3 linked regions of the Rattus norvegicus genome follow. The protein of the gene in region 1 binds, or shares a complex with, the protein of each later gene. Links are inferred from orthologs where the notes say so. Each region holds a gene or a part of one and is shown on either strand. Other genes may lie near its edges. The genes, in order: Trex1, Nme1 and Anp32a.

Evidence for each region.
Region 2: Trex1 (region 1) and Nme1 share a complex: the UniProt entries of both Homo sapiens proteins name them as parts of the SET complex. The link is inferred for Rattus norvegicus from reciprocal best matches to the Homo sapiens genes TREX1 and NME1.
Region 3: Trex1 (region 1) and Anp32a share a complex: the UniProt entries of both Homo sapiens proteins name them as parts of the SET complex. The link is inferred for Rattus norvegicus from reciprocal best matches to the Homo sapiens genes TREX1 and ANP32A.

What each region holds. Positions count from the first base shown.
Region 1 is NC_086026.1:118,583,653-118,588,966, forward strand, and holds Trex1 (three-prime repair exonuclease 1), read right to left. Parts: upstream 2,731-5,314; 5' UTR 2,713-2,730; intron 2,432-2,712; 5' UTR 2,425-2,431; coding exon 1,474-2,424; 3' UTR 1,430-1,473; downstream 1-1,429. Other genes in the region: Shisa5 (protein shisa-5 isoform 1 precursor), read left to right, coding at 1-45, 191-249; Atrip (ATR-interacting protein), read right to left, coding at 3,344-3,411, 3,804-4,053, 4,165-4,245, 4,651-4,742, 4,889-5,025. UniProt on the Homo sapiens protein: Major cellular 3'-to-5' DNA exonuclease which digests single-stranded DNA (ssDNA) and double-stranded DNA (dsDNA) with mismatched 3' termini. Prevents cell-intrinsic initiation of autoimmunity.
Region 2 is NC_086028.1:79,401,904-79,407,663, forward strand, and holds the end of Nme1 (nucleoside diphosphate kinase A), read right to left. Parts: intron 5,441-5,760; coding exon 5,339-5,440; intron 3,130-5,338; coding exon 3,017-3,129; intron 2,322-3,016; coding exon 2,204-2,321; 3' UTR 2,037-2,203; downstream 1-2,036. UniProt on the Homo sapiens protein: Major role in the synthesis of nucleoside triphosphates other than ATP. The ATP gamma phosphate is transferred to the NDP beta phosphate via a ping-pong mechanism, using a phosphorylated active-site intermediate.
Region 3 is NC_086026.1:71,750,740-71,756,563, reverse strand, and holds part of Anp32a (acidic leucine-rich nuclear phosphoprotein 32 family member A), read right to left. Parts: intron 3,083-5,824; coding exon 2,933-3,082; intron 2,776-2,932; coding exon 2,653-2,775; intron 783-2,652; coding exon 590-782; intron 1-589. UniProt on the Homo sapiens protein: Multifunctional protein that is involved in the regulation of many processes including tumor suppression, apoptosis, cell cycle progression or transcription. Promotes apoptosis by favouring the activation of caspase-9/CASP9 and allowing apoptosome formation.

The sequences.
Region 1 (5,314 bases):
TGGCCCAGTCCACAGGGCCACCAGCCTATCATGAGACGTTGGCTGGTGAGTACCACTGTGGATTCGGTTAACCCTGCACCATCCCCCAACTCATGCCTCTGCTCCTAGGGTCCTTTCCTCCTAGCTTGCCTGCCCGCTTGCCCTGCAGCCCAATGTCCCCACAGCTAACCTGTGTCCTCTCTCCTTTCAGGAGCCAGCCAGCCTCCATACAACCCGGCCTACATGGATCCCCCAAAGGCAGTTCCCTGAGCCTGCCCCCAGCCTCTTTGGCTAACATTTGATTATGTCATGTGTGTGTGAGTGCTATGCAGAGTTCTTTACTGCTGTCTGTGGTGCGTGTGCCTTGTCTAGACATGTGGCTTCCTCTGCTGATGACCAGGTAGGCACAAATCTTACCAGTGCTGGTTGGGACCAATCTGTTTTCTTCCTCACTTGAAATTGTAATTTCTGAAATTTCAAGTAAATTAAAAACAATAGGGTAGGAGGTATTTCCCGCTTCACCCCAAGGTGACCAGCCATAGCCTGCCACACATAGGAGAGCAAGCTTTTTGTGGGTCCATGTCCTGCTTTGGGGAGTAGCCAGCTAGCTGCTGCTATGGGTTTATTCCCAGGGCTTGGCTGCATTTAGCTGGACAGAGAACAAGGGGCCTCAGTGGCAGTGGGTCAGTGACTGATGTCAGAGCACACTAGGCAGAGAGCCCCGTCCGTCTCCATCAGCTGTCTGTCTGGACGGTCCCACTGTCTTTCCTGGGACTATGTAGAGGGCCACATGTATTCACTATTCAGGCTCCAGTGGCTTCCAGGCCAGGGGCCTCTGTCTACTACACACTCTGGTTTCTCCCTACAGTGTCTTTTTACGATTAGCCAAACATATTGCCTGTTTTTTGTATCCAGATGTGTGATAATTGGTGAGGTTGAAATCCTTGGTTCCTGGAGAACAGGAAACCTGACCTCTGACAGTCCATTTCCCTTGACACCAGCTTCATAGAATACCTGACTCCTGTACTACAGTCCAGTTTGTTCCAGTAGCAGGGACACCAGGGCCAGGGGTTATCTGGACCAAGGGTGGGGGTGGAGAGCCTGGATGGTAGCTCTGGACCAGATGTGAATGCCTCCATATTCCCTGTTGGTTCCTGTTTCACTGGCTGTTTTAGTTTTGTGTTAATTGGTGTTTCTGAGCATTCAAACTCCGCACCCTCGTTTATAATAAATGAATATTTGGACCACTTCCCCTTTCTTTATAGCCTGGGCGGCTGGCCTTGGCTGTCTACCAAAAACTCTTTCTGTCTACCTCCTGAACTTGCTTCTTCCCTGTGTTAATTAGCCTAGCAGGTTCTCCTGCTAAGAGAGCAGGAGAAAGAGGTGTACCTCAGCCCTAGGGCCTGACTGTGGCCAAAGGCCCAGGCTGAGAAGCAGAAGCGACAAGCAGTCAGTGCTATGGTAGTCTTTATTAATCATATCTTCCCTCTTGACTTACTGCCCAGGTGAGGCCAGGAAGATTCCATACAGAACGGCTATTGCCAAGGTCAGGAAGGTCAGCAGGCCCAGTGGGGCCAGCAGCCCCTCCCGTGATGGGGCTTCTGGGACGTTCTCTGGAGGAGGACTCGTAGGTCGCTTGCCCCTGCTCCTGCCATTGCTGGGACTTAAGTTGGCTGTGGCCAGGGGTGAGGAGGTTGTGGCAGCACACAGCCTTGGGCTGGCCGTTCCAGTAGTAGCTGCCATGCCATACATGGGCTTGATGGTGCTAAAGGGCCGGGCGTGTTTGTCCACCCACTGCAGTAGGGCCTGTGGCTTCCACTGACAGATGCTGAGCAGGGCTAGAACGTCGCCTTCAGCAGTGTGTGAGTCTGTTGGTGCTTGCCCGTACAGGCGGGTGTAGATACTACCCAGGCTATAGCTTTTCCTCGGACCATGCTCTGAGGGGCTGCTGGCTTGCTCCAAGGTCTTCAGGGCAGCGATGCTATCCACACAGAAGGTACCGTCCAGAGGACTGATAACGCTCAGCGAAGCAAGCTCTGCCTGGAGCAGAGGAAAGTCGTAGCGGTCACCGTTGTGGGCCACAAGGCAGCAGGGCTGTGGCTGGCGCTGCAGGAAGACTTGGAGCAGGGTGGCCAGGTTGTCATTGAAGCGTTGACGCCCGTGTGCTTCCAGCCCAGCTGTGGTCAGACCTGTGATCTCACTGGCCCCAGAACTGCAGGGTTTCCCTGGAGCAATGCAGAGAGAGAGCTTGTCCACCACACGGGGTGGTTTGGGCACCGGAGGTGGCTGCCCCTCAGACATGGAGGAGTTCTCCAGGGCATGTCTGTGGACAGCCAGCAGGCACAGCTCTGTGATTTTGGGCTGAGAGTAAGGCAGGCCAGTGGCTTCCAGGTCTAAGAAGATGAGGGTCTGCATGTGACCGTGGGGCAGGGCCTGTGAGCCCATGCTGAGCCTGGGGAGGAGATGGGGTAATGAGTAGCATCAGAAAGGTCTAAAGTGGGCTGGGGTTGGGTGTGGTGTGGGCAGAAACACCAACACCCACAGCCCTTCTCTTCAGTCAGGTGCTGTCCAGGGCCACGAGAAGCTAATAGTAGGGTTGTTCTCCTAGTGAGATGGATACTACACTACTATCCTTTTGAGGGAGGCTCTTCTCCTAGTGCTGACCACCTTCAGGGTGAGGGAAACCTGTCCTCTTCTGCCTTACCCCATACCCTAGAGGCCCCCCACACTTACCGATAAGCAGGCAACAAGGCACTCCGCTGATTCTGTGGCTGGCAGCACTGGCTCAGGAAGTAAAACTGCCTGGGTCCACCCAGAGGCCTGCCTTCTGAACAGGGCCCGCCCTGCTAGCTAGCCGGCCAGGCCTGGCCCTCGTGCTAAAGCTCCTCCCTCCCTCCCCAAGCACCCCAAAGGCCTTCCTAGATCCATATCTGTGATCCTGCCGGCTAACAAAGTAGACTATCACTGCTGCTCCCACAATGACAACTCCCTAGGTTGTCTCTAGGATTCAAACAAGCCCGTGAGTCTCTGCCTTTCCTTTCCTTTCCTTTCCCCCAGGCCTTGATCCAGGCCTTCCTGTCAGCTACACAAGTTTGTTCTCCCATGGACCTGGCCCAAAGCTATGACTCAGGGTAATTCCGGAAGAGGGGCAGGGTTTTTCCTCAGGGCTGATCAGGACCATCTCAACTCCAGCAGGAGAGTCACCTAATCCAGCAGTTCCTAGTCTGCTCTGTCCCTCCCTCTCAGCCCCACAAATCAAGACTCAGGAAACAAAGCCGGTTCTCAGCAGGAAGTGCAGTTTTAATCAGTGGATGTGGCAAAGACGGTGGGGCTAGTGCCACCTTGTGGCTGGATGCTCAGGCCCTCAGCTACAGTCCATCTCGGCGTCTTCCAAATCTGTCTCTGCAGCACAGAGGTCATCCAGGGCAGCCTCTGAGCCAAAAGGAAGAGGGTTCTGAGATTAACTTGATGGTGCTGGGGCCTGGAGGCCTACCCATCCTCCCTAGAGGCACAGGAACTAACCAGTCCCTTCCATGTGTAGGCTTTGCTCCCTCAGCTACTGTGAGCAAAAGTGATACAAAAGCAATCGGGACAGATCTTTGTGGAAAAACCATGGCTCAGCTAGGCCGATTCAATAGACATAATCAAATGGGAACCTATCATACTCAGACCTAGAGCAGGAAGGCCATGTCTGCAGTGCCAGGAATGGCTCTGGTGGCAAGGGCAGACTCAGGGAAGGAAAGGAGACCAGCAAAGGAGTCTGACTTTTTCATCAGCCTCAGGCAGAGGCATATGAAGGCTGTGACAGTCTCTTGATAGCTTACCTTCACAGTCAGTCACATCAGGAAGGGCTCGAATCAGCATGCTGACCCCTGGCATCACCTGGTCGTACTGATGCAGGACCTCGACACAGTGCACAGTAAAGAGCTTGTCCTTCTGAGATAGGCTGTGCAGCAGCAGCACAGTGTCCCGCAGACAGCGGACCGTCTGCTTCTGCTGGTGGGTCCTTGGACCCCCTGCCCGCCGCACAGTCAGCCATTGCCTGTGCAACATCACAGTGAGTGCTCTGACTGCCTAGGGGAAGAGAGGGCACAGACTGAGGTCTTGCTCACCTCGACACTTCAAGGGAAGCAGGACTGCCCTTCACCAACTGAGCCGCCATGATGTTAGCCTCCGGCCACTCACCTCTACATTGCACTGACAGTCAGAAACAATGCCAGCGGGGGAAGGGCTCTGCACACTCAGCTTGGCCAAGAGCCACACTACCTGGAACAAGAAGACATGGTGTTCACCCTGTGTGGAACCCAGTTATCATAGGCTTCTGCGGGCATTCCTAAGGTGCTCTAGCTACTTCAACAACTGCTTGCCTGCACAGGTGGGGTACAAGTAGTGGTAGCCTCAGGCTCTCAGACCTGAATCTCACCAACAGCTCACTGCTTCCAGGACCAGGATCAGGCCCCAAGCCCCAGGCAGCATGATCAGGCAACTCTGCTGAGCACCACTGCAACCCAGGATGCACTTGTATTGCATCTGTGTGAGGAACCCCTAAATGTTACCCTCTGCTGTTTGACACACTGACCAAAATGAATTGTAGCTCCTATTTTCCCACAAGTGGAGAGGAGGCCCTGGGCTCCTGAAGGGTGAAGGGTGAGCAGAGTCTGAGAGTCTTACCTCTTGTTCCAGCTGAAGCCACTGTGTCTCTGAGGCCGTTTTGTCAGGCCTTGATGTAATGTACATGTACAGCCTCAGGAGAAGGCAGCCTTCTGAAAAGGATTCCAGACCTCACTCAGGGTCCCCCTTTTCATTGTAGCCTGGGGTACAAGTACAGAAGCCCTTGAGGGGCTCTGAACCTGCCCCAGTCCTTCCCTCTCACTGCAGGACAGTTGAGAGCCGCCCTGCCCTGCTTTACCTGAGTGGGAGCACAGCTGCTGTGCTAGGCTGTCCTGGTCCACCAGAACAGAGAGCAGCTCGACAGCCAGCAGCACACACGACAGTGGCAGCTCTGAGCAGAGGCACTGTGGCAACATCGGGAACACGAAGGAGAACCTAGAGAATGGTCACAGTTATGACACTCTCCAAAAGGACACTTACTGCAGTGTGGCATGGGTTCAAGTTGACTGTACCTACTACTTCAAGACTCCCAAGAAAACAGGTACTAAACTTTAAAAATGCTGACTTAAAAATGGAAGGCTTTTACTGGTAGGTTGTGTGTGTGTGCGCATGCGTGTGACAGGTAAGGATAATCTCAGCATTTAGGAGGCAGAGGCAGGACCTACCACATAGTGAGCTGGAGATGGACCTGGGCTATATGCAGCCAAGTCTCACCACCATATCA
Region 2 (5,760 bases), on another chromosome or scaffold:
TGAGCACTCTGAACCAGCTGCTGCTGCTGCTGCTGCTCCCGACTGGCTTAGAGCTTGAGCCCCGAACATCCCAGTAAAGAGGTTTAGAGCATTGCCCAAAGCACTGAGAATTAGCCAGGTGGGTCAGAATGCCTAAAACCTCCTCCAGCTCCATTCTATCAGCCCCGGCTAAAGACCTGCTCAGACTGAACAGCTCTCTGCTCTCTGACCTATGTTTTGAGGTAATAGACCTCATCCCATCTCGGTTCGATTCTTGATTGGTGTCATAGAGAACACATAGAGAGCTTGCCAGTCCATACAGAGACACAGGGAACTGTCAAAGCAGAGTATAGCCTCTTGAAACCAGGGTTAGAGTCACTTGAAATCACAGTGTTTCTTGGGAATTTTAAAAAAAGAAAGAAATTCTAGGCCCAAGTGCCCAGTTCCTTCATACAGGCTACAGGTTTTACAGTGGGCACTTGGGCCTAGAATTTCTTTCTTTCCTTTTTTAAGTTCCCACTCATGACCAGAGATGGGATGAGGTCTACTGACCTCAAAACTCAGGGTATCACCATTGTGGCTCCAGCCCAACTGGTCACCTAACTACTCGGGTGGATAACAGCCCATCATACCTCACCATTGTCCGAAACCTCAACTAACAGCATCAGCCTGGCAATGACTGGCATTTGCCCTCACTCTGGGGCCATTTCCTCATTCTCCCTCTGAAGCACTGGCTCTCATATGCCCAGCTAGCTGGTTGGTTGCCTTTCGAGAGGATCTCGCTGCATAGCCCTGGCTGCACTGTACCAGTCTGACCTCAAGCTGCTGCAATCCTGAGTCTTCCTCCTAAATGCTAGGAATACATGCATGTGCCACCACACTCTCCATTTTGTTTTGGAGTTACCAAATGGCAATTGTCCTGAGAGTCTGCAAATTTCACCGAACTTACCTATCCAGTGAAGTCATTCAGCCCTTTGTTAGGTCACATGCCTGCCTACCCTATAGTGGGAGGACCCTTCATGGATGGCAGCTGAGGGTCCCAGGCCTACAGAAGACACAGGTTTTCTGATCTGACGGTAGCTACAACTTCTCATGATCCCTTTTTTTTTTTTTTTTTTTTTTTTGGTTGTTTTGTTTTTCAAGACAGGGTTTCTCTGTCTTTCCCTGGTTGTCCTGGAACTCACTCTGTAGACCAGGCTGGCCTCAAACTCAGAGAACTACCTACCCCTGCCTCCTGAGTGCTGGGATTAAAGACATGAGCCACCACCCAGCTTTTTGTTTTTTTAGGACATGTTCTTGTATAGCCCAGGCTGGCCTCAAACTTATAGCTGAGGACAACTTTGAACTTCTGATCCTACCTCCTGTGTGCTGGATTGCAGTAGTACCCTACTGTTATGTGGTGCTGGGGACAGAACCCAAGGCTTCATGTATGTTGGGAAAGACTCTCCCTTCCAACTAAGTTATATCCCCAACCCGGGTGGGAGGTGAGGGTGGGGGGATTGTTGTCTGTTTTTTTGAGCCAGGGTCTCACTATCTAGACTAGGCTGACCTTGAACTCACACAGACTTGAGTGCCTCTGCCTCCTGAGTGCTGGGATTAAAAGGCATGCTCCACTACACCCAGCTATTTTGATTTGTTTCGTTTGACAAGGTTTCACTATATAGTCCAAGCTGGCCTGGAACTCATAATCCTCCTGCCTCTGTCTCCTGAGTGTTGGAATTACAGACCTGGGCCAACAGGCTTCGGTTGGCATCTTTATTTCTGATGAATCCCTGCTCCTAGAACAGTTTTAACATCTTCACACATCCTCACAGAAACTGCTGTCTGACTGGATGCCAGGAGAGAACAGGATGCAGGGGATGGGAAGGGAAATAGGCAAAGAAACGCCTCCTCGTCCCAGGGCGCTGGCTCAAACCACAAGGACAATGAAAGGAATCTCTGTGTGCACGCGAGGCCAATATAAGTAATTTGCATAGCATTTACATTCTGTCCGCTTGGGTTACCCAGAAGCCTGAAGAGGAGGTAAGCAGGGCAGAGCAATACAGCAATACAAAAGTACAGACAAAACACTTTAATCTACCAGTGGCACTTAACACTGCACAGGGAGTCACAGCGCCCAGAGGCTTCTTCCAGTTCAGAGAAGTTCCAGAAAGATCTAGAGCTGCTGCTCCCCTGCCTGTGAGATCAAGGGTCAGTAGACAGAAAAAAAGCAGGGGCCCTGCTGTCACTCATAGATCCAGTTCTGCGCACAGCTCTTGTAGTCCACCAGCTCCTCAGGCTGAAACCACAAACTGATCTCCTTCTCCGCACTCTCCACAGAATCGCTGCCATGAATGATGTTCCTGGGTGGAGAGAGGGAATGGTGTTACCAAACGGGAAGAATGAACTTGCCCACAGCCCCTTGCACTCGGCTTTTGATAGCCGATGCTGGCCAGGCTCTCTGTTCAAGAAAGGCATAGCCACTGGGACCAAGCAAATATGGGGGACCCTCCCTCCAAGTCAGCTTCCACCTTCAGAGGCAAGAAGACAAAATTCATGTTTAAAAGTGACTGAAACCTGGTGCAGTGGCCAGTGCCTGTATTCCCAGCATTTGAGAGAGGGGTGGAGGTTGGGAGTATCAGGAATTCAAGAATAGCCTCAGCTACATAGCAATTTGGAGGCCAGCTAGCCTACTTGGGACATTGTCTCGAGGAAACAACTAAACTAAAGGCTGAAGAGACGGCTCAGTTTTAAGAGCACTGGCTGGTCCTCTAGAGAACCTGGGTTTAGTTCCCAGGATTCACACGGGGCTCACAACTATCTGTAACTCCAGTTCAGGGGACCCCAGTTCCTTGGGCACCAGTCATGAAAGTACACATCATGCAGGCAAACTATCCATACACATACAGAAAAGTGAAAAATAAAGATGAACTTTAAAGGCTAAAATAAAATGAATTGACCCGCAGATGATATCATGTTCATCTCTAGACTCAGAAGCCCAAATTCTTGTGGCAACTAGCTTAGATTTGGGAAAGGGGTGAAAAGCATCGATTCTTACCTGCCAACTTGAATGCAAAAGTCTCCTCGTATGGTCCCAGGCTTAGAGTCTGCGGGGTTGGTCTCTCCAAGCATCACCCGGCCTGTCTTCACAACATTCAGTCCCTCCCAGACCTCCAAGGACAACAGAAGACACAGTCAAGGAAGAAAAACTCTCTCAGTAGAAAACCTGGTAGCTGGTAATTCAAAACAAAAGGCTCTAGGACTCCCTCATTCAACTAGACAAACAGAATGCCTACTTATGCCAGTACTAAGGATGCTGGTCACCTGGCCCTACTCCTAAGATCAATTCAGATCCATCCAGGTGGCAGCCAGCAACCTTCTTAATGGCACTGAGGTTATCCCACCACCCCAGAGGTAGAGGCAGGTGGATCTCAGTAGGGCCAGCCTGATCTACATAGAGTATTCCAAGACACAGCCAGGGCTTCGTAGAAAGACCCTATGTTGGAAACCCCAAGATATCAGAGATGCCAGTGTCGTGGGATACCTGCCAAGGAACGCTGCACATGGGGTGTAGAACCAGCTCAAGACAGAAGTGTGTCCCAGTCAATACGGAAAGGAGCAGGAGATCAAAGCGCACGTTGGCATCAGACACGGCGATGCAGAGTGTGGAGTTTGTCCTGCTGGGTTTAGGTCTTGCTTTGGTTCAGGATTGCCTCACTTTCCTCCTTTTTGGAATGGCAATGTATGTTCTATGTCATGGTATGTGGAAAGGATGTGACATGCCTTTTCATTTTTATTTGACGGGTGACAGGAGGCCGCCTTGAGTCTCAGAAGAGACTCTGAACTTAGGACTTTGAAACACTGCTGATACTGATGGACTGTGGGGACTTTTGAAGTTGAACTGAATGCATTTTTGCATTAAGATTGGGCTACAGGTCTATGAGGCCAGAAAGTGAAATGTGGTAGTTCAAATAAAAATGGCCCTAAAGGCTTATACAGATTTGAATGCTTAAGCACCAGGGAGTGGCACTTCTTGAGAAGGATTAGTAGATATGGCCTTGTTGGAAGAAGTGTGTCACTTGGGGTGCGCTTTGAGTTTTAAAAGCCCAAGCCAGACCCAATGGCTCCCTTTTCCTGGGGCCTTCAGATCTGGATGTAGAACTCTCAATTTCTCCAGCACCATGTCTGCCTGCACACAGACGGGCTTGCCTGCCATGATGATAATGGACTAACCCACTGGAACTGTAGACAGCTCTAATGAGATGCTTTCCTTTATAAGAGCTGCCTTGGCCATGGTGTCTTTTCACAGTAAGAGGACAGTGACTAAGACTGACCCTGTCTCAAAAGACCAGAACAAATAAATAAAAAGCTAAGTCTGGTACCTCCCATACCTTCCCAGCCCTGGTAACATAACAGCAAACCCTGACATCATGTGCTCCCTGAGCACTTCTCACCCCATCCTCCTCTTACCATCCAATCCAACCTTCTTTCTGTACTTTAAAAAGCAAAGTTGTGTCTGGTGCGATGAGCCAATACACTCTCAGTGGAAGAATCAAAAGCTCCAGGGCAGTGTGGACTACCTGAGGCCAGCCTAAACTACATGCTAAATTTCAGGACACAAGGCTAGCCTACATATTAAGACCCTGTCTCAATAAATCATTTTTAGAAAGAAAGAATGAAAACAGATACCCATTTTGTCTCAAAACTGTATCTAAAGTATGTAGGAAGGGGCTTGACATAGAGATACCAAGCTCATTCTTGCTTAAGTCAGTGGTTCTCAACCTTCCTGATGCTGCAACCCTTTAAAATATAGTTTGCATGGGGTTGGGGATTTAGCTCAGTGGTAGAGCGCTTGCCTAGCAAGCGCAAGGCCCTGGGTTCGGTCCCCAGCTCCGAAAAAGAGAAAAAAAAAATATATATATATATAGTTTGCATATGGTGACCCCAACCATAAGATTATTTTTGTTGCTATTTCATAACTATAACTTTGCTACTATTATGAATCATAATGTAAATATCTATGTTTTCTAATCATCTTAGGCGACCCCTGTAAAAGGTCATTCGACCCCAAAGGGGTCTTGACCCACAGGTTAAGAATCAATCAATTAAATGATATTGAAATAAACCAAATCCCCTGTGTTCCATGGGAATTCAGCCAAGCCAGTCTCTCCTGATTTCTCCCAGTCCTGGGTCTCAGCTTGGCAGGCAAATGCACATTTTCTTTGGTGGATCAGACAGACAATTCTCATCCTAACTGGATATCCCATCAGCCTGTTTCCTCTACAATAAAGAGGACCTGGCACCCAAGCAGGAAATGCAACACTCACTCTGCTCTACTCCCAAATGAGTCACTCCATGGACATTGCACAGTCTCACTCACCATAGCAACCACCGGTCCTGAGTGCATGTACTTCACCAGGCCAGAAAAGAAGGGGCGGTCCTTCAGGTCAATGTAGTGCTCCTTGAGAAGATCCTCTGAAGCCTGTTACAGAACAGACAGTGAGAGCTGGCCCCAGGCCCCTAAGAACCAGAAGGCTGGTTTCTTCCCCATATCCCTCCCGCTGTTCGGAACATGAGCTCGCAGCTAGTTAGGTGATCAGATATAACCAGATTCATCTTCCACATGGGGAACAGTGACAGCCACAAAGCGATTCTGAATCTCTAATGCAGCAGGATAAAATAACTTAGAGCTGAACCCAGCCTGCTGAGCGTAGCACTGAACCTGCAATCCCAACACTGGAAGGCAAACACCGGATGTCCACAAGTGTTGAGACCAGCCTAGGCTACAGAGCCATACTCTAT
Region 3 (5,824 bases), about 47 Mb from region 1:
CAAAAGGGGGACACTTACAATCTATTGGGAAAAGGATCTCCACCAAGGCTGACAATATATGAACATATATGACCATCTCATAGAAGACCCCAGACCAACAAGGACAACAGAATCTTATGTCTGCACTGCCTGGCACTGTCTGAGTGCTTAGCTTTGCTTGGGCTAGAAAGCCCCACAGTAGAGCCGCAGGGTGCTCACTGAAAGGAACCTGCAGAGACAACGGGATGGGGCAGGGAGGAGGGGCCCTTAGCCTCCCCTTCCTTCCCAAGGGATCTGACATTGACTATAGCCCCCAACTTCCCTTGGCTTCTGAAGGGCCCAATGCTGGCCAGTGGTCCTACACGCTGCAACCACCAGGGGGCGCCACAGCCTCTCCAGCAGAAGACCCTGGACTCCCGGAAGGAGAAAAGGTCCTGGGGAGCCCATCCCCACAACTGACCTCTTCTCCTCCCAAGCCTGGGGTTACACTATAGAGATATACACATTGTCCTTCCTTTGGGGACTTGAGGCCACCAGGTCCATTTCCCTCTATGGTTTGCCAGCTTGTCCAGAGTAAGCTCCTGTATCCAGGATCCCCATTGCCACCTACCATCCTCATCTTCCTCGTCGTCATCCTCCACGTAGCCCTCAACATCAGAGTCAGGGGCCTCCTTGTTGTCTCTGTCATAGCCATCGAGGTACATGACCTGGGGCAGGAGCTTGAACACGTTTTCTCGGTAGGCATTCAGGTTGGTCACCTCACAGTTAAACAGGTCTAGGCTCTTGAGATTCTCTAACTTCTTCTGCAAGTGGAGAAAGGTAGTCAACAGTGAGGGCGAACCATGGAAAAGGGGAAGGAAGGGGAAACGCCCTAGGAAAGGCACCACAGACAGCCCAAGAATTCTGAGAGAAGGAAGCCAGGTATGCCCTTTTGCATGTGTACATGGTGTGCGCGTGTGTACAAGTGTGCACACACACTCACTAGTAGAAGTTAGGTCAACTCTGGTTATCTTTATTGTTTTACACACACATGCATGTATGTATGTACATATGCATGTATGTATGCAGTGACAGAGTCTCTCACTGAATCTGGAACTCATCTTTTTGATTAGACTGCTGGCCCAGCCCCTGGGACCCACATGAGGACAACATTCTAGCACTGGGGAGTTCAGGGGTGCATTGCCATTCCCAGCTGTGACTTGGGCTCTGAGGATTTGAACTCATATCCTCATGTCTGCACAGCAAGTGCTTTACCCACTGAGGTCAGACCAGTCCTGGCCAATGCTATCATGTTGGATAGGTAAGAAAATGGAGGCCCAGAAAGCAAGGAGGCACCCAGCTAGCAAAGAAATGCAGCTGAATCCTGACCTCCCATCTCATTCAAAGACCCATCCCATACTGAGTCCCTGTTGCCATGGGGACCAGGTCAAACTAGGAAGAGTAGGCCCCTCAGAGAAAGTCTTGATTCTCTACCACTTTTATACATAGACCCAGGCGATTCTTAGTGGTGGGGCCAAAGGCAGGGAGGTGGCCCAGCATCTGGGAGGACAGAGGACATCATATCAATAACCAGGATGGGAAGCCACAGAAACGTATGTGATCTGTGTGCAGAGAAGTGGGAATGTGTGCGTGCCTGCTCCCCAGTGGTGACCCTGCCACACTGCCTCAGGAAGACTTTAGACTCAGCTGTCTACACACTCCCAACACACATGAGTCAGAACTCTGAAGAGGTTTCTCTTTGGAACAAGGTGATGATGCCAGGGCTTCCAGGCAGAAAAAAAAATCAGCCCTGCCTTCGCATAGGTCAGTGGGAGACCTGGAAAGAACTTTCTGTGGTCAGTGTGTTTTATTAGCAAGACAGACAGACAGGTGACGTCTGAGCTTGAAGCAACAATGTCAACTTGGTGTTAGGACCACCTGACACCAGGACTTCAGGCTGCTCGGAGACTGATGGGTGCTTTGTGGACTTGCCCAGCCTCCTTTGCCGTGTCCCCAGTCCTTCCTCAAGTCAAGCTTTGTGACTTTTCTCTAGTTCCAAAGGATTCTTTTTGTCACATTTTCAGGCTGTTTCCTTAAAAACCAGAAGAATACTGCGCCTAGGACGTGGTGGCAGAGATTGTCATTCTGACTAAAATTTCCCCTTCTAACTGGAAAATGAGTAAAGCAAGAACCAGAAGTGTCTTCCATCCTGTCTCTGAGGCACTGGTCACCAATAGACACTCTTCTCTCCATATGCAAATGAAGGTTTGCACTGGGCTCCCACCAAGCATAGCCTCACACTCCAGGAGCCTTGTGTGTCAGCACTAATTCCTAACCCACTAGCCTAAGCCTTGGGAGAAAGGATGACCGATCTACCTCCAGAGTCAGCTTACATCTAGGTTTGCTCCTCTCTTCTCAAAGGGTGGCAAGCCAGTCAGGCTGTGAGCCCAGACAGCACAACCCAGGCTGAAGGGCACACACCAGACCAGGCTCCACTCCCTGCCCCACACTGGGTGCCCATTCTGGCCGGGTGACCTTGGTCCAACTGAATTCTCCATGGACTAAGCAGAAACAGTGCCCAACTAGCTCACAGCACTGGATGAGAGTCGAAGAAAAACAGTGATAAATAAATGTAACTGTGAAAGTTGGGCTCCCCACCACCCCTGAGGAAAGGGGAGGACCCCAGGGACTCACCAGCGGCTCTATTGTGCTGAGATCTTTTATTTTGTTGCCACTTAAATTTAGATGCTTAAGGTTCGGACATTTCTCTGCCAATACTTCCAGGTCCCCTGAGATTCTGTTTTCGCTTAATTCAAGCTGTGTGAGGCAGGAAGGGAAAGTGCGTTTAACACCGGGCTCAGGGCCACTCTCCCCAGAGAACGTGCCAGCAAGTTGGAGCAAGCACCTGGCCTTGCCTTAATTATGCTCCCCGGAGCACAAAGCCTCCCCCACCCCAGCCTCCCAGGCTGTTTACCTTCTTGAGTTTGTTTAACTTTGGTAAGTTGGAAATGGAGGTGAGGCCTACGTTGATTGTACTTAGGAATTCCAGTTCTTCAAACTCATCCGTGAGGCCTTCGATTTTGCCTTCAATTGACCGACAGTTATCCAGGACCAGCTCTTTCACCTAGAAAGGGAAGAGTGGCGTGAGCAGACAGAGAGAAGGGGTCAAAGAGGTGCTCCAACTCCCAACGGCTATCAATTGCTTTATCCAGATCAGCTCTGCCTCAGAGCAAAGGACGATCAACCTCTCCCCGTCATCCCACCATTAGCAAGACCCAGACAGAACATTGGATATGCACACCTCTATCCCTGCCTACAAATGTCCTGGCCAGACACCCACTGGAGGCAGACTACTCACTTCTCACACTCAGCACCCCACTTGCTTCCCGCCCCCCAAGTACTCATGGATTACCCAGAACACACTAATGCTTGCTCTCCTCCTTCCTCTGGCCTCAGCCTGCCCACTGAGGCCTGGCCCACCATGGCAGCAGCATAGCGGAGAACCCTCTTCAAAGTCCTTGTGCCTAGACAGTACTGTCCAGGAGACGGTTCCACCAGAAAGAAAATATTTGGTGCTGTCCAAGAACAGAGCCACAAGCCTCGTGTGGCCCTGAACATTTGGTGTTATTTTAATCTTAAGTACACAGAGACACAAGGCACAGTTACTGGACCACATGGTTCATGGATGTTTTCCTTGGCCCCTGCCTCGTGGAAGAGGAGAAAACCTGCATGCCTAAGACAGCAACACTGAAATTCGAGGGTCCCTACCCACTCCCTCTCCAAGGGCAGGGAGGGTGGGGATGGAAGGTGTGACTCTGTTTCTGACAGAGCAGAAAGAGACAGTGAAAGTCACTCTGGTGAGGAGGTTCTAAACCAAACTCACTGCAGGATGATATAGGCCAGGGGAAAGCCAGTGGGTCTCAGGGAAGTCACAAACAGCCGAAGGGATTGGCAGGCAGACCAAGGTACCCCAAGGCAAGCCAGGTGCTTGGGGAACCCAGTCTCTTGGTGATACCAGGAACCCTTCCTGTGGTACGGAACGGAGGGTTGAGCAGAGGTGCTCACGTATGCTGAGCAAACATCTGCTCCCTTTATTTCACGTTTTATTTTTTTTTCTATCCCTTTTTATTTTGACACAGGCTTTCTCTGAATTGCCTAAGTTGGACCCGGACTTCCTTTAAAAGGTCTGCAATTTGTAACCCTCTTGACTTGCTTCTGAGTTAGGATTAGAGATCTGTGGCACCAGGACTGGCTGAAAGGAGTCTAAAAAGAGAAGACTGACCCCTCCCAATGGCACTTGTCCCAGCGCACCCTTGCACCCCAGGACTCTGCCTCAGAACCAGCTTCCACCCTGCAGCCTCTGGCAAGCATTGAAAATACTGACTGGCTATGCTGTACCCTCAATCTATGGGATTCACCACAGGCCCACGTGGCTCACAGGGTTGCCACTGCCCTCCTCCCCCGCCACGCTGCATAAAGATCCCACGAGCCAGTCCCAGTCCCCACCCACGGCTGCACTTCTCCTCTAAGAGGACCTTGCTGGAGATTCCTCTGGTCTTCCAGCGACTGCTTGTATTCAGCCACTTTGCAGGGAAGAGGTACAACAGGGTCACTCCAGGCTAATGGTCAGGGCAGAGACTATGGGGTACCTGGGTCTCAGAGCCCTGCCTCCTTCTTTCCTGTGGATACAGTGAGCACTCCAGGCAGGACAGTCTAGCAGGGATTCACAGTTCTACCTGAAGGGAAGAAATCCCGGAACACCACCTTCCTCCCTGAATCACAAGCTCTAAGCCTCTGCCCTGGCCGTGCTCCATCTTCTTGATGGATCTAAGAGGCCACGGGTCCAGGTCAAGCCCTCACTGGTTAGACTGTAAGAACAAAACCTTGGAGCCCTTCCCCCTCAGGCAAGAAAACGGTAGAGAGGAGGCCTCGCTGTGGGCAGCAAGCAAATGGAGGGAGTGGCTGTGGGGCCAAGGGACACAGTATGAGGTGTTGGACTCCTGTGCTCCAGTCTTCTTCCTTAACTGGTTTTCCAGGGAATCCCTGCTTCCAACAGCAGATCCCCGTATATCCTCAGAGGCTGCAGACATTTGTGGTTTTCCTAGAGTGGTAACAGCCTCTCCCCTTAATGCCATTAGCAAGTGTTGTAAGGGGACCTGGGATGAAGAAAGTAATGATGGACCATCAAGGGAATTTCTTGTTGCCTCTATGGGGGATGCTCAGGGGGTGGGGGTGGGGGGCACGGCACCTCCCAACTCCTGCTAGCAGAACAAGCTGCCTTGCATTTCTACAGTGGACCAGGCCAGTCCCCACCACCTCCCAGCACCACACCCAAACTGGGAGCCCCTCCTGTTAGGGACAATAGGTAAGCCATCACAGCTACAGTTTACACACACACACACACACACACACACACACACACACACACTGATCAGCCTCCCCAACAACAGACACATTTTAAATATTACACATACCCTAGCTACACCATGGAGGGAGGGGGAGTCCCTCCGTGTACAGCCACATTCAGAAACACCTGTGTGGTGTGAAGACGCGGCTCAGTCGGTTCTGGTTCTGTCTGGTTCTGACCCCCAGCAACACACAAACTATGTTCAAGGTCACCATTTGGCCACACAGCCAGGTTTGAAGCCCACTTGGATTATACAAGAACTTGTCTCAAGAAATGAGTAAGAGAAAGAAATACTCAGCCTGAAATTCAGGCCCAGCAGGTGACTGCCTAAGCGAGGTGTCCAGTGCTGGTCCCCTGAAGCACTTCTGACACCTCAAGGTACCGGGACAGTGACTGACCAGATATCACTCAACTCCATAGGCCCCGATGGCTGTAATGGCTTCCCTCCAGCCCTTTCCT